Linked DNA regions of Canis lupus familiaris. The protein of the gene in region 3 binds, or shares a complex with, the protein of the main gene of each other region. Links are inferred from orthologs where the notes say so. Each region holds a gene or a part of one and is shown on either strand. Other genes may lie near its edges.

The links.
Region 1: the proteins of STX17 (region 3) and VAMP8 are in contact, whole or in part, in a crystal structure (PDB 7BV6), measured with the Homo sapiens proteins. The link is inferred for Canis lupus familiaris from reciprocal best matches to the Homo sapiens genes STX17 and VAMP8. Residues at the interface, in NP_060389.2 of Homo sapiens: Ser171, Trp172, Thr174, Leu175, Asp178, Leu179, Glu181, Leu182, Leu185, Val186, Phe189, Leu192, Val193, Gln196, Glu198, Lys199, Ile200, Ser202, Ile203, His206, Val207, Ser209, Ala210, Asn213, Val214, Glu216, Gly217, Thr218, Asn220, Leu221; in NP_003752.2 of Homo sapiens: Gly9, Val13, Leu16, Gln17, Val20, Glu21, Val23, Lys24, Met27, Thr28, Asn30, Val31, Ile34, Leu35, Arg37, Gly38, Leu41, Glu42, Leu44, Arg45, Thr48, Glu49, Leu51, Glu52, Ser55, Glu56, Phe58, Lys59, Ser62, Gln63.
Region 2: the proteins of STX17 (region 3) and SNAP29 are in contact, whole or in part, in a crystal structure (PDB 4WY4), measured with the Homo sapiens proteins. The link is inferred for Canis lupus familiaris from reciprocal best matches to the Homo sapiens genes STX17 and SNAP29. Residues at the interface, in NP_060389.2 of Homo sapiens: Glu170, Trp172, Glu173, Leu175, Glu176, Leu179, Ile180, Ser183, Val186, Thr187, Phe189, Ser190, Val193, Asn194, Gln196, Gln197, Ile200, Ile203, Ala204, Val207, Asn208, Ala210, Ala211, Val214, Glu215, Thr218, Leu221, Gly222, Ala224, Ala225; in NP_004773.1 of Homo sapiens: Arg52, Thr56, Ser59, Thr60, Arg62, Ser63, Leu66, Glu69, Ser70, Val73, Gly74, Ser77, Glu80, Leu81, Gln84, Val87, Leu88, Thr91, Met94, Val95, Lys97, Met98, Asp101, Leu102, Ile104, Ser105, His108, Ile109, Ser111, Ile112.

What each region holds. Positions count from the first base shown.
Region 1 is NC_049238.1:39,845,285-39,852,879, forward strand, and holds VAMP8 (vesicle-associated membrane protein 8), read right to left. Parts: upstream 4,263-7,595; 5' UTR 4,132-4,262; intron 3,624-4,131; 5' UTR 3,381-3,623; coding exon 3,378-3,380; intron 2,057-3,377; coding exon 1,898-2,056; intron 603-1,897; coding exon 459-602; 3' UTR 159-458; downstream 1-158. UniProt on the Homo sapiens protein: SNAREs, soluble N-ethylmaleimide-sensitive factor-attachment protein receptors, are essential proteins for fusion of cellular membranes.
Region 2 is NC_049247.1:30,772,932-30,779,929, forward strand, and holds the end of SNAP29 (synaptosomal-associated protein 29), read right to left. Parts: intron 4,519-6,998; coding exon 4,361-4,518; 3' UTR 1,323-4,360; downstream 1-1,322. UniProt on the Homo sapiens protein: SNAREs, soluble N-ethylmaleimide-sensitive factor-attachment protein receptors, are essential proteins for fusion of cellular membranes.
Region 3 is NC_049232.1:57,221,104-57,228,559, reverse strand, and holds the start of STX17 (syntaxin-17), read right to left. Parts: upstream 5,193-7,456; 5' UTR 5,127-5,192; intron 1,321-5,126; exon of another isoform or gene 1,300-1,320; intron 1-1,299. UniProt on the Homo sapiens protein: SNAREs, soluble N-ethylmaleimide-sensitive factor-attachment protein receptors, are essential proteins for fusion of cellular membranes.

The DNA.
Region 1 (7,595 bases), on a different chromosome or scaffold from region 3:
GAATGGGGAGACTCCATCTTTCTTCTCCAAACATACACTTTCTACCCCTCCAACAATGGGGCCTCAAATAGGAGAATCTCAGCCAGAAGCTGTCCCCAGGGAGAATAGAAATAGAAGGACCAAAGGCAAAAATGGAAGGGGACAAATTACCTCACATGTGAAGGGATACTGAAAGGTCTTTATTGCCCACCGGCCACCATCAGTGTCCTAGCCCCATGCTGGGCCTTCTGGATATCTCTCCAACCAACTCTGAGGGCCCATGAAACAGCCACAGTCCAACTCTCTCCTTCCGGGGGACCAAGGTGCCTGGGGCAGACAGTGTGGCAGAGGGGCCTCAGAATGAGGGGCAGGAGGACGCAGCAGCACTTCCTGCAGACAAGGATGGAAGAGAGGGCCCTTCTTGGCACCTGCTATGGAGGGTTGCCCTAAAGAAGAGGGTGGGTGGGGGGAGGGGCTCCCTATGTGGGGATGGCATGGGTGGCGAAAAGCACGATGAAGAGGATGATGATAAAAACAATCACGCAGATGAGGACAATCATCTTCACGTTCTTCCACCAGAACTTCCGAGCCACCTTCTGTGATGTGGTCTTGAAGTGCTCCGACTGTTGAGGACAAGGCAGAGTGAACCAGTGCCTCCTCCCACCAGAATAAGAAGACAGAGGCCCACATGCTATACATGTAAATGTTGAAGTGAACAGTTGAGGGAACAGACCGTTACACAAAAAATGTTCTGTCCTCCTACCCTGACAAATATACCTTCATGACAATCTGATGGGCCAGATTCAAATTTAGAATTCTAAATTCTTGCCTCCCCTCCTCTCTTCTTACCCATGCACCGTCATGTACACTGAGGGGCCTTTTACATATGCTCACACCCAGAAGTGCAACACTGTCTGCACAATCCGCCCTTGGGAGAGCACACACTGGGGCGAACGGGTGCAAGCTCCAAGTGGGCACATCTCCCTGGGACTCTGACTCCGTGCCCTATGGGGACCTCTGAGGCTAGAGGACAGACCAGGGCAGTACAGACGTCAGAGGTAAGAGAAACTGCTCTTCCTCCTCAACTGGAATTGTAGAAATTAACTTTCCCTGGGCCATGCTCCTCAGATTAGGCTGCGGAAAGAAACACTAAGTCCCAGGGAAACTAGACCCAAGCTTATGCACAAGACTTGGAAAGCCACAGCCAGTCTCTCCCTGTGGACAAAGAACCTTAGGCCCCAACCTTTGCTGGAGTATTTTGTTAGAGTTACTCCATCCCTGAGCAGCTGGCTTCAGCCCATGGCTGGAGAGAGAAAGGAATGAGGTCTAGCAAGATGTGTGGGAGATATTATTCTAGCCTTCAGCTAGCAGAGGACCCCCTGATCAAAGAATTTCACTGCTCTTCCCAGCTTCTTTTTAAAGCAGACTCAGCAAAACTCTAGCAGTTTTCCACCCCCTGCCTAGTGACTCCTCAAGAAGGCCAAAGGCCCTAGGAGTATTTTCCGGAGCCAATATTTTTGGCTTAGGGAGGTCAGGTCCAAATGATTGTCAAGGGCAATCTTCAAAGGGAAACATCAGTTTCATGGGAGGGAAGCCTAAGAATGTGAGGGCTGACTGGGCCATCTACCTTTCTGTCTCAGACAAGGCCTCCAAGAATCAGCCCCACCCACCCACCCACCCACCCAGTCACTGGAGCCATTTCCTGGACCCCAGTACCAAATAGTGGAGTAGAGCAGAATCAAAACAGGGGGCTCACTTGTCAATTCCCAAAACAAGTGAAAAGGCAGACTTCCCTCCTATTCATTTTGCCCCCAGCACCACCAATTCCCCGAGCCCCAGCAATTCACCCTCCCTCTCTTCCTCTACTGCCCAGCTCCCAGCCGCCCTGCTCCCAACCTCTGTGGGTTCCCCATCTCACTGTGGCTTCCAGATCCTCTGTCTTGTTGCGGAGATGGTCCAGGTTTTCTCCTCGGGCCAAGATCCGCTCCACATTCTGGGTCATAATATTCTTGACTCCCTCCACCTCACTCTGCAGGTTCCGCACACGATCATTTCCAACACCTCCACTGGCCTCCTCCTGGGCAGCAACGCAGGGGTTAATTAGGCGAAGTGGTGGAGGAACTGAGACTCAGCCTCAGAGGCCAGGGGAGGGGAAGGCCTAAGGTGGACTTTAGCTTTTTTTTAATGCTTGAACTGTTTACAAAGAATGTTTTCATGTATTACTCATGTGATCAAAAACAAATGCACTTTTAAGCCCCAGAAGGTGAGTGCTGATGCTAGACAGACTAGATCCAGTTTCTTTTCAGGTTCTCAGGGCCCCTGAGGAGGAAAAGAAACACAGACCCTAAATCCCACTCCACTGTTGCCTTGCTCCTCAGATGGGGGCAGAGAACTGCTGAGCTGGCATCTCACAAGGGGGAAACCCACCACTATTAACCGAAGGATCCTCATTGAAAATATCTGTGCTGGCCAGCAGAACACCCTCAGCTGCCACAACACCCCCCTCACTGCTGGACAGCAGCTGGAGAGCTGCTCCCGCCCCAGACTTCCCCAGACCTCCGGAGCTGCCTAATTGCTGTGACCCAGAGCAACAGCCACCGGGTTCCAAGGCCCTGGCCAGGCCCCAAGAGGGAGAGCCATTGCGCCATAAACTTCTGCTTTCCCCCAACACACTGCCCCATGTGCCGGCACCAACCAAGCTGCCACTGCCTCCTTAAGCAGATATTAAATAAAAACAGCAGACTGGCTGTTGAGGGAAATGGAGGGCAAGTCCTCCCTGGCTGATAAAGTTTTTGAACAGGGAGGGCAAACCATTACTAGGCTCCTCCCTCCCTGACCCCCTAGACCTCCGAAACAGGCCAGGAGCCGGTCCAAACTAGACGGATTGTCACAGAGAACCAACTTCTGGTTCTTTTACAAACCCTTCGCCTTCTTCTCCGTGTTTAAAGAGAGGGGCCCGATTCCTTAGGCCGGGCAGAGAGAGACGGATTCTTGGAGTTTCTCGACAGGATAAAGGGAAGGGCCGACGGGGAGGGCTCCCGCCGCTGGGCTGGAATCCGCCCTGGGAACTTCGGAGGCGCTGCCCAAGGGGGGTCACCGGGCTCGGCGCCCGGCGGGCCGGAGGAGGCCAGGAAGGGCCTCTCAGCGGCTCCCGGCCTGGAATTCGGAGCCTCCACCCCCACCGGAGCCCCGCTCCGGGCCAGCTCCGAGGGCAGGGGAGGGAGAAGGCGCGGGGGCAGCCGCCCGGGCAGCCAAGTTGTCAAAGGAGAGCGGCCACCGGCTGCACCGGGCCAGCCCTCCGACTTGGCCAGCGGCCCTGCGACCCCCGCCCCCAGCCCCCCGCCCCCAGCCCCCGCTCGCCTTTCGCTCAGCCCCTCGCGAGCTCCCAGCGCGCTCACCATGTCTCCAAGCGGCTCGGGCCTGGCGGCGGCGAGACTCCCTCGTCTGTTTCCTCCCGGGCGGCCCTCGCTTCACTTCCTGCTCGCTCCAACTTCGAGCCTGCCCCCGCCCGCCGGCATCCCGAGCGGCTCCAGCCTCACCTAGCGCGGGCCGGCAGGTAGGCGGGCGCCCTCCGCTGCCCTCCCAGTCTCCTCCCAAACCTGGGCTCGGGCTTAAAGCAACAGGGCTCGATCACCAGAGATCTTCTAACGCATCAGAACCAGAAAAAAAAAAAAGAAAAAGAAAAAGAAGATCAAGCAGCCCTCCTAGGTTTCCTGAGGCTGGACCTCCTGATATAGATAGGGAAGCTGGCTCCGCCCCCCCCCCTTTTTTTTAATGTCCTGAATATCTGACTCCAAATCTTAAACACTGAAGTCAACTCTAAGTACACCACCAGGGGTAGTTCACATGGAAACAGAACACAGATATGAAAGTTTCTTGCTAGCAACCCCTGTTCCCATGTTCAGGGGTGGACAGAAAGTATTAAAATCCCCCCAAGTCTGGAGTGCTGTAATCCTAGGCTGTGGTGTCAGAAAGCTCCGGATTACTAGTGTGACCCTGAGTGAAATTCTTCACCTCTCTGGTTTTGGCAGGTGCTAATGCTGACCTCAGAGGATGGTGGGGACGTATAACAGGATAGCACACTCAGTGTGCCTGCCACAGTTTCTGAAAGGAAGACCTGTCCACTGTTGGGACGAGGGAATGATGGCTTACCAATCCCTTCTTCCCTTCCAGAGTTCAACATTTCCTTCAGAAGCCGCTTTGAGGGGTTGGTGAGCCTACTCAGAAATGGTCAGAGGCCTGCCCTATGGACAAGAGAAGGGCCCCAGGCAAAGGATTTTTCCACCACCTGGTTCCAGGCCACAGAATATCTAGTCTTCCCAGATGGTATTTATCAAGACAGAACAAAAACAGGGACAGGCAAAAGAGAACAAACATTCCTGTCCCATCCCAGAAGTATTATTAGTTCTTTTTTTTTTTTTTTTTTTTTTAGTATTATTAGTTCTAAGAGAGAAATGTCAGTTTCTCTAACACATATTTTGTTAAAGGAAATGACAATTTCTGGACCTCTGTTTTGAGATACTTTATTCTACTTTATAATGAAATCTTATCTCCAATTAAATAAGATTATTATATTTTGCAAATCTGAAATTTGATGGACAGTACCAGCCTACTTTCACAGAGAATGTGGCTGTCTCACTTCTCATCATCCTTAGAAAATCTATAAAGAAGAAAAAAAAAAAAAAAGAAAATCTATAAAGAGGTCAAGTGGAGATGGGTCAGAATCCTTGATCTGTACTTATGCTGTCCATTACCATAGCCACTGACCATATATGGCTGCTGAGCACTTAAACTGTGGCTAGTCTGAATTGAGAAGTGATGTAAGAGTACACACAGTATTTCTTTTTTTAAAAGATTTATCTATTTATTCATTTGAGAGAGAGAGCACAGGCACACATACATCAGGAGGGGAAGGGCAGAGGCAGAAGGAGAGAGAATCTCAAGTAGACTGCTCTCTGAGTATGGAACCCTGCACTGGGCTCAGTCTCAAAACCCTGAGATCAGTGATCTGAGCTGAAATCAAGAGTGGGATGCTCAACCCACTGAGCCATCCAGGCACCCCAAGTATTTCAAAGACTTTTTTTTTTTTAATTTACTTACTTGAGAGAAAGAGCATGAGGCAGGGGAAAGGGCAGAGGGAAAGGGAGAAGCCGGGAGCACAATCCAGGCTCAATCCCAGGACCCCAGGATCATGCCCTGAGCTGAAGGCAGACACTTAACTGATACTGATAACATGTTGAAATGATGTTGTGGATTTATTGAGTTAAATTTTAAAAATTGTTAATGCTCATTTCACCTGTTTCTTTTAATTTGATGAGTAGAAAATTAAAAATTACAAATGTGGCTCAAATTATATTTCCATTATAAGACACACTGATCTATGCATTAATATTCATGTGACCTTGGACAGACTGATGTGACATCTATAAACCTCAGTTACCTCACCATCTATGCCTGGCACTGAAACAACCCTCAGTAAATGGTGGCTATTATGATTACTATTATTAATGATTCCAGATGCTAAGTGCAGTGGTGGGTAGGGACATAGGATAGGTGCCAAGAAACAAAGTAGGATGTCTGAGGAGAGCATAAAGACATGGAGGAGGATTTCCAGAATAGAAATTAGGGTTACAGGAATGCCTGGGTGGCTCAGCGGTTGAGCGTCTGCCCTCAGCTGAGGGTGTGATCCTGGGCTCTGGAATCAAGTTCCACATTGGGCTCCCTGCAGGAAGTCTGCTTCTCCCTCTGCCTATTTTTCTGCCTCTCTCTCTGTATTTCTCATGGATAAATAAATAACATCTTGAAAAGAAAAAAAAGAAAGAAAGAAATCAGGGTTACAAGATTTGAGGAGTGACCAGGCTCTAGCATGCTGCTGGCAGCTTTGGACATACATTGGTGTCCCTGGGGGAGCTGACCCTTGGCCTAGGCCCAGAAACCACTGGGGAGATTTTCCAGCACCCACAGTTGGGACTGCAACGTGCTCCCCCTCCTCTTCACCATGCAGAGCCCCTGCAGTCTTGGCCTCTCCTGTAGGAACATCACAATTCTATCCTTTGTCAAAAGACCACCTTGCTAATGCCCTCAGAAGATGAGACATTCAGTAAAGTACCAAACAATGAACTGTGAGCAGAAATGGTACTATGGGGGGTGCATGGCTGGCTCAGTTAGAAGAGCATGTAACTCTTGATCTTGGTGTGGTGAATTAAAGCCATGTTTGGCCTAGAACTTACTTTAAAAAAAAGAAAGAGGGGATCCCTGAGTGGCTCAGTGGTTTAGCATCTGCCTTTGGCCCAGAGCGCGATCCTGGAGTCCCGGGATCGAGTCCTGCGTCAGGCTCCCAGTATGGAGCCTGCTTCTTGCTTCTCCCTCCTGTGTCTCTGCCTCTCTCTCTCTCTCTATGTCTATCATAAACCAATCAATCAATCAATCTGAAAGAAAGAAAAGAAAGAAAGAAAGAAAGAAAGAAAGAAAGAAAGAAAGAAAGAAAGAAAGAAAGAAAGAAAGAAAGAAAGAAAGAAATGGTACTATGGGCAGGGTACGAGAAGAGAAATAAGTCATCGATTCCTTTGCAGTCAAGGAAGGCTCTATCCCAGGAGAAATGGAGTAGCAGTCACTTTGCAAAGAAAAATGCTAGATGGTAAGAGTTGTACTAAAGAAGCAATCATGATGTGATGAAGAGTGTTCTCAGTGCCTGTGTGATCAGAAGATTTGGGTATCAGCTCCACTATTCCCTGGCTATATAGACTTGGGCAGGCCACTTCCCTCTAGGAGCACCAGTATTCTCATCTGCAAAATGGGAAGAAGAATGAAAGCTGCTTTGCAGGGTTATTATTAGGGTTAAATAATACAGATATATATTTCTATATTCCTGCTAAAGCACTTTACAAGTGAAAAAGGAGACTGATAGAGAAAATAAGATTAGACAATAGTGGAAGAGGAATATTAACAGCCTGCAAAGCAACCAGGCAAACTTTGAGAGTGCATTGACCTCGATGCTAGTCTTCTTATTTATGGCATAAATGGGGAGTTTGCTTCTATAGCTCTCTGGGGAAAGGCTGGAAAACAAGGAAAAGGAGCATTCAGGAGGCACACCTGGAATTGCTCCCTGAAGGATCAGAAAGCTCTCACCACTGCCAAGGCCTCTTTTGCCTCCAAACCCCTTTGTTAACTGTTATACTGCTGGTTATCCCATCTGGGACAGTCACACTCCACCCCCCCACCCCCAATCATTCCCGATGTCTCATTCTCTTTCTGACTGTGCTTTTAGAACCAGAAGCTTCTACCTGTGACCATCTTCACTTTAGACTCTGCACTCTCCCAGAGCAACAGTCTTCTATGAGGCTGATTTTGCCCTCCAAGGGACATTTGACAACAGAGACGTTTTCGGTTGCCACAACTTGGCAGGGGGGGGGTGTGCTCCTGGAATCCAGTAGGTAGAAGCCGAGGATGCTAAGTTTCCTACGTGCAAAAGACAGCCCTCTCACAACAAAGTATTATACAGACCAAATGTTAATAATGCTGAGGTTGAAACCCTGATCTCCCTAGGGAAGTGCAACGCTTTATGGTTTCAGCAGCCATTTATGGGTGATCCCCAAATCTGTATCTCCAGCCCTGAC
Region 2 (6,998 bases), on a different chromosome or scaffold from region 3:
ATACAAATCGGGTCGTGTCACTCACTTGCTTAGTATCTGTCAGTGCTTCCCTATCATGGAGGTCAGTGTTCTCTGACTCCTTGATATAGCCCATAAGGCCCATCATTTGGGATCTTACTACCTTCCTCATGTCCTCACCCACCCAGATTTCAAACTCTAGACGTTCTTTTACTTGGAGCTCCCAAATGTGAACCACCTTGATTTTTTTGCTTTTGTTTCTATGTAATATCTGTTCCTTGTCTTCCCAGAAAAGTCTGCTGCTAAGTTCAGATCCTCACTATTCCTTATCTATAATGATGCTCAAAGATGATATCCACGAAATCAGGGTGGTCTTTGGGATCCACGAAGCCAGTCTACTGACAGATAAGATTTTCAAGATGGTCTAAGCTCCAGGTGCCTTTTTTTTTTTTAAAGATTTTATTTATTCATGAGAGACACACACACACAGAAAGAGATGCAGAGACATAGGCCGAGGGAGAAGCAGGCTAGGCTCCATGCAGGAATCCTGATGTAGGACTTGATCCCGGGAGTCCAGGATCATGCCCTGGGTCAAAGGCAGGTGCTAAATCGCTGAGCCACCCAGGGATCCCTCCGTGCCTTTTTAGAGCTTTCAGATCTAGAAACAATTTCTACTCCTGTGGTCAGATGTGAAGGCAGAGGCAAGACAGTGGAGCCAAGGTTAGGCTAGCCTGTTCTCCTTTCTTGGTGAACTATGATGTTTAGAAGGGCCAGAAGCCTGAGGAGATCCACTTGCAGAATATAGTGGCCAGCCATCCTTCATCCTCCCGCCCCTAGGAATACCTTGTGGTAGTTTAAATGGGATGGCCAACTATTAAGGCCCATGGGTCAAGTGCAGTCCACCATGTTTTGTACTTCCCATGAGCTAAGTGGTTTTTGTATTTTTAAGTGATTGAAAAAAAAAATTATCAGATTTTTGTGACATGTGAAAATATATAAAATTTAAATTTCAGTGTCCATAAATAAAGCTTTATTAGAACACACCATTCTCATTTATATATTGCCTTTGGCTGCTTTTTTGCTACGATGGAGGAGCTGAGTAGTTGCGACAGATTGGCCCATGAGCCTAACATTTACTCTTTGGCCCTTTATTGTTTGCTGAGCCCTTATCGAGACAGTGCTGCACTGTGGTCAGGGAGATAGGAGACAGATTGGAAGAGCACTCTGAAAGATGAAATGAGAGGGCTTCGAGAAGGAAGCTTATTCATAGGGTTTGATGGGGCAATGAGGACCAAATATACGAAGACTCAACATGGAGGAGCCCTTCCATCCACTCTTTGAAAATGACTACACAGGAGACAGAATTTGATTTAAAAAACTTCACATTTTATTTTACAGAATATGGTCACTTGTTGAGTTGAAGGCATGGAGCTTAAGAGCTATTCTGATACAGACTCTGAACAAAATGCCCCCCTGCCGCTCCGAGCACTTTTGATGACTGGCTCATCATTCTGTACACAAGACATTTCATTATCAGAGCTGAAGATGCTAACAATGGTGATAACTTACAAATTCTGAGAAAAGGCCTATATAGGCAAAGTGTAAGAGTTTTTTTTTTTTTTACTAAATTGGTGTAGTGCACCCTTAAAATTACATATTCACAAACAGAAGTTAGAGAAAGATAAATTAAAATACACTTAAGAATTTTTTTCTTGCCACCTGAGTTAAATTCAGGGCTCCTTTCCTTCAGAATGCAAAAAAGACAATGTTAACTCCAGATCACTAGATGTGAGAATGTTTCCTCTGAAAGAGAATGCACTTATTTTTAAGTTAGTAGCACGCTTCACATAAAACCAACCTAAAGTTAGAAAAGCCACTTTTTGAAGGCACAGTTTGTTTCCAGCTCAACTGTGGAAATAAAAGCCTGTCTTATAGACCCCATCTGGCAAGAAGGGTGAATTCACTCCAGCCCACGCATCTCTGAGTGTCTCCATGAGACAGATGTGTCTAGTCTAGAGGATAGAATGTTTTTTGATCATAATCATCATGTGCAAAGATTCTGGAAGCTCCGGGTTTCTCTTTGTTCTCTGAAAATGCAAGCAACTTTGCTTTATAAGGTAGAATCAACCACTGGTCCTTCATGAGCCGGAGGGCAAGGGGGAAGACCCAGCAGAAAGGAGCTCCCAGTGCGTAGCTTGGAGACAGTTCCCTGGTCAGGGCCTTAGTGTAAGAGGGTCTAAACAAGAGTTAATATACACATGTAAAGTGTCAGAAGACACATTTCTAGAAAAGTGGCTGTGCTTTCCTTCTATATGCTTGGAGAGGGGAGAAAAAACGGGGCAACTGGCTTCAATGTTCTAACAAAAGACAGGGAAAGGGTATAATATTCCACGCCACTTTCCTTCAAGTCAGTGAAATCACTAATCTCATTACGCAAATGGAAGGCTGGGGAAAAGAATATTTGGCAGTGGCCTTTACATGTATAATTTGTTTGAAAAAAAAATAAGCTTGCATCTGAGGTATAATGACTAATCTCCATGAGTCTCTCTGCCTGATGATGACGAACAGAAACAGCCATCATGACATACGTGGAAGGTGTTAGAAAAAAAAAAAAGAAACAATTAGGAGTGGAAATGTACACACAGGCTGCTCTGCATTCTGGCTTCATGCTTGTCAGCAGCCTTTTTTGCTAAAAGCCCTCCGAACTCATTTTGTTTGGGCTAGGTAGGTGTTTAAAACTTTTCCTTTTACCATTTATCAAGAGAATAATCACGATGAGCTCATCTGATAAATGCCTAATTTGACTACCTCTAATCGTATTCTCACATACTGGGATATTCATAATGACGTTGATCAGATTCCATGAGTTGGCTGGAACATGACAGAAGGTTGTATCTACTGACGGAAGCTGTCAAGTGTTTTTAGGAATGCCATGCAGCATGGAATGGAACTACTACAAATGAATTGCTACAAAAATATGGATGCACTGTTGCAGCACTGCAGAGATTTCTTTTCCTTCAGGGGGCTTTCTTTATAGGCTACAGAACCAAAGTGGTGAAGGTCCCATAGACAGCACCATGTGTTGAGGTGAAACACACTTGTTTTAAATTTTCTGACCTAGCCTATTTTATTAAAATCAGCGCCTTTTACGGTCTTCAAAATATTTCAATTAATTTGCTTTTTTAAAAAGACAAGGGTCTTGCGGCTTCAATTACTCTGCTGGAGGTACCAACACAAAGGCGCTAATCTCGTTACAGAAATCAATTTTAATGAATGTCACTTTACAAAGAAAGAATCACTTAAAAGCATTAATTAAAATTGATTTCTGTAATGAGATTAATGTTTTTGTGTAGAACAAGCTAGGCTAGTTAAAATGATAATGTCTAGGCTTTTATTTTTAAAGCTAAGTTGTTCTAGACAAGTCTGCATCATTTGTGGCACTCCAGTCCTCCAACTGGGTGGCGGAGAACCAAGAGCTGAGTCAAGTCATGTTGCAAGAGGTCAAGAGGAATGGGTGGGAATCCTAAATGGGCCAGGAGACCCCAGGCGTTGAATAAACACTGCCATCCCCGAGGCTGGGTCAGGTGCTCTGGGGAGGAGCACACAGGGTAAGCACTGTATGATGCTCCATTCTCACAAACTGTAGAGGGCCCCCAACTGGCCAGCTGGGCAGCCTTGAGACAATGGTGCATCTGTCCCTAACCTCAGTCAGTGACTTAGAGGTGAGAGTGCACAGGGAAGCAGGGCTCACCCAATTCCCTGTGCATCTCCAGGCATCACGGTGAGTGGTGCTGATCTGAACCCTTTCTACTAAAATGCATGCCAAGGATGGAGGCCAGGAGGGAAGAGGTGACATCTGTCAACCAAATAGCAAACGCTGGCACTTTCCATTTCTGAACATTGATCCTTTTCTGGGGTTTGAGAGAATCGCAATGTGCTCAGTGTATGTGTGTATGTGTGTTGGGGTGGGGGTGGGAGAATGGTGACTGGTAAGCCAAGATGTGGGAAGGACCACCCTCACAACACCACCACAGAGATTGGTGGTTCCAGGATTGAAATTCTGCCCATGTCTTTCCATATGCTCGTTAAAGTGAGAAATGCAACTGTTCTTCTGGTGTCAGCAAGGTCATCGAAGGCCCAAAATACTCAGGGCCAGGCTGTCGTGCTCAGATTAAGACTCTAAGCATTCAGTTCAGACAATGGAGAGGTGAGAGCTCTAAAAAAAGTAGGATACACATTTCTCATCATGACATCTCCAAGGACTCAACTCGCTCTATAATTATAACATTTGCAAACACATATTACGTTACACACTAAAACAACAGAAATTAAATTTTGGGAAGTTTAACAGGAGATTTTTTGGCTCGTTTCATCACAATGGGGTGGAGAGCCTTCTCGGTGTTTAAAGTTGCCTAACTTTTCTTTCTGTGCTTTTTATATTGACATCTAACTTGTCCACTTTGGTTGTGAGGCGGTCAAGAATGTCATCTTGCTCCTCAATTTCTGTCTGCATCCCCAGGGCTATGTCCTTCAGCCGGCCTAGTCCCACGGACAGCTCATCTGTGGGAGAGGGAAAGGACATACAGGGCTGAGTGAAGTCACAGCAGCAGGGGCCTCTGCTTGTTCCGTGCCCGGTGCTCTGCAACATGCACATCACTGAGTGCTCTTTCTCAAAAGACAAGGAGAACTCTAGGGCTTTGGTTACATTTTCCAAAATTCATGCAAGTAAAAAGCAAACCAGCTGACTCCACATAAAGTAATATGTGCTTAATGTAAAAGCCACTTTTCCCCTAGATGTCTGCTCAGGATCATCACTATTCATACAATGATGTTTGTCCTTCTAGTGCTTTAAAAAATACATACAGATCTACATCATGTTTTGGGTGCCTCTGAACGTTCTAATAGGTGGAGGCACATTGCAAGATCAGTTAGTACCTGAGAAAGAGAGAAGTACGTAGAGGCTTAGAAAACACTCCCTTCCCAGACCCCATAGTGAGTATCTGGAAGAAGTATGCAGGTAACCAACAGCCAGACCTGCTGCCGTGCTCTTCAGGAGCAAAAACCTCATGTCAGTGGGTAGAACTCAACAGTGCCCGGTTTTCTTCCTTCCATCTCCAGCCCCCTAAAGCTGGATCAAGCACAGATTCAGAGTAACAAGTATGAGAATACCTATTTGGAAACACATCTGGGAGACAGACCTGGAAGCCCCTGCACCTGGTTGCTCCTGCTCCAGGCTCCCACCTTGGAGAAGGCCACATCCCACCCCCTCTTCCACTCTGCAGGTGGCATGAGAAATAGGTGCTTTGTCCCTACCTTGCCACCTGGGGCGCTCTCCCAGAAAATACATGAACTACAGATGGTTCCACTCCATCCAAATGCTATGAGGTCCTGTCACCTATGTTATGATAATTCACATTTTCCTACATCAATTCATTCATTGCTACCACTTCTCAGATCCATGCACACATCAATGCTGCGAATGTCCTGGGGTATGACACAACCTGAATCTGGCTGGCACCATTTCCTTTGCCCACTTGGTGGCTAGCTGGGTACGGAGATGTCTGTAGTCCAGGGTCCCCATGTCAAAAGGAACTAAGGGCTAAAGGTGCTGGGTCCCTTTAGTAATGCCCTCTGGGGCAAGCCCCAGGGGACAGTGGGGCACAGACTTTTGGCAAAGTTTCAGCCCTAGCGATAGGTTACATCATTCCTGCTGATATTCAAGTTCAAACATGAGGGGTGAGAGTTCCACTTCCGTGCAGGACAAGTGCGGGCTGGGGAGAAACCCAGGTCAGTCCCACTGGGTCTGAGTTAAAAATCCGGGCGGGCCCTCTTCTGATCCGTGCTCCCAGATCACAGCTGAGGGAGACTGCCTTTGAAAGGAAGGCCACTGGGGAGCAGCCCTGCCACAACTAGCCACTCTGGTGCCAGGTCCCTTCTGAGCTCATTCTAGTTCCCTCGGTTGGCTTTCCCACTCTTTGTAATAAGTATTTTCCCTTTGTTTCAAAAAGTGTTAAAAGTCAATGATCACATCCATTTTTTTTTTTTGATCACATCCATTTTTTAAGAGGAATAACACCTGTAAGGACATGATTGGTCTTAGAGTATGTGGAGGGAGTACCAAGCAGAGGTGACATAAAGAGAACCAGAGTCAATGGAGGGAAGAGACATGCTGCAGGCACTCTGGGGTCCCCTCATTGGGCTGAGCCAACTGCAGAGGTGAGTCTTGACTTAACTGATTCGGTCAGTTCTCAGGCTTCATGACAGTGCGTGCGCGTGCACGTGTGTGTATGTGTACCTATGTATGTACTTGTACGCAGTGGGAGTGGGGTGCATGCCCACAGCTGCCTTCTGCCCTTTTACTAGGTGCAGTAGGCCAAGAAAAAGCCAGAGGGAAGAGAGAAGGGGAGGTGCTTCATAAACCTTGTGAATTAAAGATAAAACATTAAGAAAGGTCAGAATACACAAATACTTGGCACTAACACCACAAATGTAAGCAGAATCTGTTTTTTAAAAATTGTCTTCAGCTCTATGCTTCTTGAATTTATTAAAACCCCTAACCTTGCGTTCCATGGAGAGTAAAATCTGTGAGGTCATCCCAGGCCTCAGGGAGTGTGCTGGCACTTGGGACAGCAAAGGACAAGCTATAGGTATACGGAGATTTACTTATTTATTAATTCATTATTTATTTTTTTATTTTACAGATTTTATTTATTCATAGAGAGAGAGGGGGTGGGGGGCAGAGACACAGGCAGAGGGAGAAGCAGGCTCCATACAGGAAGCCCAACGTGGAACTCGATCCCGGGTCTCCAGGATCACACCCCAGGCTGCAGGCGGCGCTAAACTGCTGCGCTACTGGGGCTGCCCTACTTATTTGTTTTTTTAAAGATTTTATTTATTTATTCATGAGAGACACACAGAGATAGAGAGAGAGAGAGAGAGAGAGATAGAGAGAGAGAGGGAGAGGCAGAGACACAGGCAAAGGGAGAAGCAGGCTCCATGCAGGCAGCTCGATGTGGGACTCGATCCCGGGACTCTGGGAT
Region 3 (7,456 bases):
ATACATAAATCCATATAACCATCTATGATGTTTCTTCAAAATAAATAATTAGAAATTGAATAGGTACACACATTTTTTATGGCTTTCGAGACCAAGTGTCCCAAAAGGTTGTACCTGTTTACATTCCCTGTTTACATTCCTGTTTATATTCACTAGCAACATATCAAAATATCCAAATATCCATATTCCCACCAACACATAGTACTATATTCTCCTTAAACTTTCAAAAATGGTGTCTCATTGTTTTATTTTACATTCCTTAAATTACTGGTGGCATTGATTTATTAGCCATTTGCTTTCTTCTTACGAATTGCCTGCTGGTGCTATATCTATTTTACTACAGGGGATGTCTTTTTCTTATTATATTCAACATATAATAGACTCATAAATTACCGATTGTCTCACAATGTTCCCAGTTTATCACATTGCTTGTATTTTTTTTCTGTCATGCAGATTATATACTATATGAAGATACGTTTTTATCCACCACCATTCCTTTTTTTTTTTTTTTTTAACAATACTGGTTCTCAAAAGGTGCTGATGGAACTAAAATATTTCTTCACATGTCCCTTCTTCACTATTACTAATCCCATCACTCCAACAGTGCAATGCACAGCACCTTACAAGTGTCTTAATTGGCTTCCCTTTAAACTCTTTCCCCTCTCCAATTGTTCCTCACAGATTACCACCAATTAATATTTCTAGAACACCAATTGCAACGTTCTCCTCTGAACAAAAACTTCCAAGAATTCCCTATTATTTGAACAAGAAAATACAATGTTCAATCTAAGTATTATCACCCAATTTCTACTTTGGGCTTTGCTATGATGCTCCCTCTGTTTAGATGCCCTTTTATATCCCATCTGCCTCTAAAATTTATGTATCATTTTATATACAACTCTAATGATTCTCCTTTCTCCTCCACTAATCAGTTTATAGTATATGTAAAAAACCCCGATTATTGGATGTTTGACTTGACACTGTTTCCTTATGCTACAATGACAGATTTTTTCCAGTTCCAGAAGTGATATTTCTAGGTCAGAGTTACGCATGATTCTGCTCTTCAGCTTTCTATCCAAGGAAAACCAACCGCCTCATAAAGACCATCTATCAGGGAAGACATTCCACCCCAGGAACCTCCCAACATACATTTCCAATTCTTGTTCTCCTTTTGGCCGGTATTTTTTTTCTCTTCTCCATCATTTCCATTTTTTATAAATTACAACAAAATGTCTACAGAAACTAAAATGAGAACATATTGTTCAAATAATTGCTTAAGTCATGATGTTACTGGGATACCTGGGTGGCTCAGCGGTTTGGTGCCTGCCTTCAGCCCAGAGCGTGATCCTGGAGACCCAGGATCAAGTCCCACATCGGGCTCCCTGCATGGAGCCTGCTTCTCTGTCTCTCTCTCTCTGTATCTCTCATGAATAAATAAATCACATCTTTAAAAAAAAGTCATGATGTTACTGAAATGGAAAGTTGTCCAGCAGTGGCTCCAATCATAAAATAGCACAAATATGGTTTGTAAGTTGTTAAAGTATAATCCAACATTCAAGACATAGTTTCAAAATAAAATTGAAAAAATAAAAAATAAAATAAAATAAAATTGAACAACAAGTAAATGTATTTCACCATCTCGATTTTTCAAAAAACTGGAACATACTTCTGATAATTAAATGACAAAAATAAAAAAATACATTTACATTAACTTCACAACTGTGTAAAATATGCTTATGAAAAAGACAAAACATAGAAAAATGCCTAATTTTCCAAACTTTTGTAGAGTTGATTTCTTTGTAATATTTTTTTAAGTGTAATGAAATATTTGGGGTGATAGTTGTTTTATATCATGACAGTGGTGGTAGATACACAATTATATGCATTTGTCAAAACTCATGGAATTGCACATTACAAAGAATGAATTTTTGAAAATTAAAAAACAAAAAATGTGGAGGAACACAAAATGGAACACAAACCATAAGAAAGGAAACTATATTATCAATGAATAGCATAACCGCACTAAAAGTAGAGGAAGAAAATAACCTAAGTAACTCTGGAAAACACTATTCTAACTGGATACTACAAGGTTAAAGACCATAAGAACTATATACGATTCTACTATGTTCTAATTAGAAAATTTATTTTTTATAGGAATATGTGTTAGAAATCCTGAAAATCCTTTATGTGTATACCAGGACTGAAGAAATAAGAGAATATTTTGTAGAGCATGAAAATCAGATTTCTGTCAAAGAAAGAAGTAACAATTAAGAGGCATGGGTAGACTGAACCCTGTGGTTTAGGTTTACAAATGGAACTCTCAGAATGAATTTTTGTTTTTTTAAAAATATATATACTCAGATGTGAGTACATAGACACACTTAAATACAAAACAAATCTTTGTGTATCCATGAAATATGTGGATATATATGTATATAGCTAAGAAACATATATTTACAAATAAACATAACAAACGATATAAATAAAATATAATACTTAATTTTTCATAATTACATAAGTAATAAATAGAATGATATATTTTATTTATATATAAAGGAAAAATACTTATAAAAATAAAATATATATTTACATATAGTCCTAGCTGTTTTCTGCAAAGAACCACAAACAATAATATTCTAGTAGCAATGAGCACACCAAGTGCCCTGATCTTGGTGTTTAAATACCACTCTCCAAAAAAGGAAATCACGGATCCTTGGAGAAGTGGGTGATCCAGGACTGGGGCAGAGAAAACGCAAGATAAACGTGGAACATCTTATGGTGCTAGAAAGTAAGGAAGTTCTCAAAGAGAGATGGAAGCCTGTCAAAAGGAAGCAACCTGAAAAAACTCCCAAGGGCCAAGGCTGGAACAACCTGAGACATAAATAAATAACAAAAATAACCAAAAAGTAAAATAAATGAGTTCATACTTATATAAAAAAATAACTGACTAAACAAATGGAAAGGGGCAAGCCTTCCTTACAGAACTCCAATTAATAAAAGAAGGAATGGGGACGCCTGGGTGGCTCAGCGGTTGAGTGCCTGCCTTTGGCTCAGGGTGTGATCCCGGGATCTGGGATCGAGTCCCACATCAGGCTCCCTGCCTGGGGCCTGCTTCTCCCTCTGCCTGTGTCTCTGCTTCTCTCTTTCTGTGTCTCTCGTTAATAAATAAATAAAATCTTAAATAAAAAAATAAAAGAAGGAATGAGGGGAAACAAAAAATCACCATTAGAACATAATAGTAATCATTGCTGAAGGCAAGATCCACCAATGGATGGTAAAATCAGCAACTGAAAGTTTGAGGAGAACAACATATTTGCATAGTTTAGAAACTCAAGATATCCATTCATTTCAAGGGGAAAGCAGTTAATTTACATTAGAGAATCCTGGCAGACACCTCAACCAAGTGATCAACAGTAATACCAAAAGCAGTGTGTCATAACATGAACCCTTCGTGGGATGGACTGAGAAGGGTACATCCACTTCTGTGGTATCAACAAAAATGCATAACTTTAAAAATGCCTAACTTTAATTGTAAGAAAATACCAGACAAGGGGCAGCCCGGGGGGCTCAGTGGTTTAGCGCCGCCTTCAGCCCAGGGCCTGATCCTGGAGACCCGGAATCGAGTCCCACGTTGGGCTCCCTGCATGGAGCCTGCTTCTCCCTCTGCCTGTCTCTCTCTCTCTCCCTGTATGTCTCATGAATAAGTAAATAAAATCTTAAAAGAAAAAGAAAATACCAGACAAAACATAACTGAGGGACACTCTGCTAAATAATTAACCAGGATTCTTCAAAAGCGTTAAGGTTAGGAAAGACTTAAGACTAAAGAGCCATGCCAATTAAATGCAATGTGGGATGTTATACTGGATCCTGAAATAGGGGGGAAAAAAGGACATTAGTATAAAAAAGTCAGGAAATCCGAGAAAAAGGTAGCAATTTGGTCACTAGAATTGTACCAACGAGGGGCGCCTGGGTGGCTCAGAGTCTGCCTTTGACTCAGGTTGTGGTCCTGGTGTCCTGGGATCAAATCCGGCGGGAGCCTTGCTATTTCCCTCTGCCTATGTCTGTGTGTCTCTCATGAATAAATAAAATCTTAAAACAAAAAAACGTACCAATGATACTTTATAATTTTTTATGACTGTACTTATGGTTATATAAGGTGTTAACATTAAAGGGGGCTGCAGAGACCTTTGTTACTTTTGCCACCTCTCTGTAACTGGAAAATCATTTCAAGAATAAAAAGACTCTCTAGGAAGGTCTGATGTTTCACCGGAAACGGGTCACTTAGACTAACACTGGCGGGGGCCTGCGGGGCAGGTGCTCTACAAACGACCCTGACCCTTTTCGGGGCTTACGACTACTATCATCACCTGGGTACCATGACTACTCCTGTTTCCCGTGAGAAAAAAGTACTGGGGGGGGGGGGGGGGTTACTACATGATTTAGACTATTTACTGTATAAGTTAAAAAGCCCCATTTCTCAGAAAAAGTCCCCAAGTGCCAGCGACCTTCGGCGTCCCCCAGAGCGACGAGCGGCCGCCTCCCAGGGCAGGGATCCACACGGGCCCCAGGCAGGCCTCCCCGAGCTCCTGACCCGGGGACTCTGGAAGGCAAGGTCACGGCCCCTGCTGCTCCCTGGGTCTCCCGCCTGAGCCCTCCCAGGCCGGGCTTATCGAGGGCGCAGCTGCGGGAGCTTCCAGAAGCACCGGCTCCGGCTCCGGGTCCGGGTCCTCCGCCCCTCGCGGGCCCCCGAGCCCCACGGCGCCCCCCCCCACCCCCGCCGCCCCAACCAGAGAACGGATGCGCGGGCGGCCTGGGACCACGCCCCCGGGCGACCCGGGCGACCCCGACGGCCCCGGGCCCAGCCTGCGCCGCGGGCACGGCAGCTGCAGGGAACTTTCGCACCCCGCGACCCCGGGAGGCCGCCTCCCCACACCGGCTTCGCAAAGAGCTTCCAGAAACGAAACCGGCGCTTCGGGGAGCCGGGAGGAGCCTCCCAAGCGCGGGCACGCGGGACCTGAGGCCGGGCTTCCCCAGGGGGCGCCTCTGCGGCGCGCGGGCTCAGCGCCCGGCCCTCAAAGCCCGTCCGGGCCTGACGCCCCCGAGGCGGCCTCCCGCAAACCCCTTACCTCCCGCCGGGGCGCTCGAGGCCGCTGGCTGTGCACGGCGCAAGCGCGGGCGCGGCGGGGCGGGGCGTCGCCAGGGGGCGGGGCGTCGCGAGGGGCGGGGCGGTCCCGGGCCACGCCCCCTCCCGGCCCGCAGGAGCCCTGCCGGGTGGGGCCGCCGACGCCGTGACGGCTGCCGGCCGCGGGGAGGATTGAAGAAAGTGGGCTTGGCGTCTGTTTGCGGGGTTGCAGCCCTGGAGCCAGGAGGAAAGAGACCTACAATCACCTCTTAGGTCTGCTTGTTGTCTTTTCAGTAGGACGTAATTCACACACGCATAGCTTTCTACATTTTTGCAAAGTTTGCTGTCTGTTTTCCTGTTTACTTTTTTTTATTTTTTAAGATTTTATTTATTTATTCATGAGAGACACAGAGACAAAAGGAGGCAGAGACACAGGCAGAGGGAGAAGCAGGCTCCATGCAGGGAGCCCGACGTGGGACTCGATCCCGGGTCTCCAGGATCAGGCCCTGGGCTGAAGGCGGTGGTAAACCACTGAGCCACCCGGGCTGCCCTGTTTTCCTGTTTAAACAGGAATTTTATGGGCAGGCTGGCCGTGCATTCTGAGCTTTTTACACATGCAGAAACTGAAACTCCGAAAGGTTGTGCCTTCTCTCATTCACCACCGCACCCCCCCCCCCCCCCCAAACCTCGTGAGATGGACAGGACGCAAATCTTAACAACTGGTAACAGGTGCAGAAATTGAAGCTCGGATGAGTTGTGATTTTCCTTCCCATCAAAGCCGGGGGAGACCATGCTACTGTCCTTATCCCAATTTTATAGATCATGACGCTGAGGTTAAACAAAGAGTTTTAAGTGACTCACTCAGTTCAGCTACTTAGTGACAGAGCTGGGAACTCCACTGGGTTTCCTAATTTCCCTCTCAAGCTCTTCCAGTTACCAGCTGCTACCAATGACCAAGCAGATGGTTGGCTTTGAAGCTCTGTCCGGGTCCCATGACCTAACTTCCAGACCCAGCCTTTCTTAAGTGTTTGTGAATGTTCAGATGACCTGTCTAGAATGTGACCCCTGACAATATTATCCTCAGACAGTCATCAGGATGTTCAGGCCACAGCTCAGGAAACTCAGGTCTTAAGGTTTCCCAAGTGAGTGGGAGAAGAGGTGGAGATTATAGACAAAATTAGGGGCCTCTGAGAAAGCCTTGATAGGCAATTTCTAACCTAAAGAAAAACAAAACAAATCTAAGCAACTTGGAGATTCTTTGTGGGTGTAATGAAGGTTGTTCTGTTTGTTTGTTTTATTCTGGGAATAAAAGGATTTGGAATTTTGAATTTTAATAAGAGAAATTAATTAAAGTATTAAGCCATGCCATGGGAAAATGTTTTCCATGCAAGGGTCACTTAAGCAAGATCTTTTGAAATGAAGGTCATTCAAAATAAGTTCTAAAAACCTGCCTCAACCACTGTAGGGAGACGTGGCACTCAAGGACTCTAAATTTGAACCTAGCCTTCTGGACTGTTATATGTATGTTTGCTATAACTGAGGTGTGTCAAGGTAGCAGGATAAAGCTTTTTAATCTAAGAGTTTGTTAGCTTGATTTATAATCTCTAAATATTTAAACATACAGTGTGTGGAACTCTTTGTGTTCATGCCTGGGAGCCCTGAAGTTGTCAGGGCAGGCCTACTGCTACCAGCCAACATTTTCCCCAAGTCCTAACTGACACAGGAAAGAAAAACAAAATAAAACAGTAAATATATATACATTTATATGAAAGAAAAAGGTAAAAAAAATCTTTTGAGATATTAGAATTGCTTACTTGGAACATCCACAGGAATGAATTGAATTGAAACAAAGCTTAATAAGGTAGCTAGAGAAATAGCTTTCCTAAATTTCCAATTTTAAAATGTAGCAGGAGAAAAGACCACATTCAAAAATAGTAGAATCAAGTTTGTGTTTATAAGGAATTACAGGACCTATTTGAAGAATTAAGAATAATACCTCTATGGGGTGAGGGCAGAGGGAAGGATTATAAAGGGGCATGTGGAAACTTTGGGGGTGATAGATATATTCATTATCTTTATTGTGGTACTAGTTGCTTGGGTTTATACATATATCAAATTGTACATATTACCAAATTGTACACTTATTTTTAATACATTTTTTACAAGATTTATTTGAAAGAAAGAGTGCTCACACAAGCAGGGGAGGAACAGAGGGAGAGGGAGAGAATCTCAGGACTCCCTGCTGAGTGTGGAGCTCAATCCCATGACTCTGAGATCAAAACCTGAGCTGAAACCAAGAGTTGGTCACTTAACCAACTGAGTCACCCAGGAGCC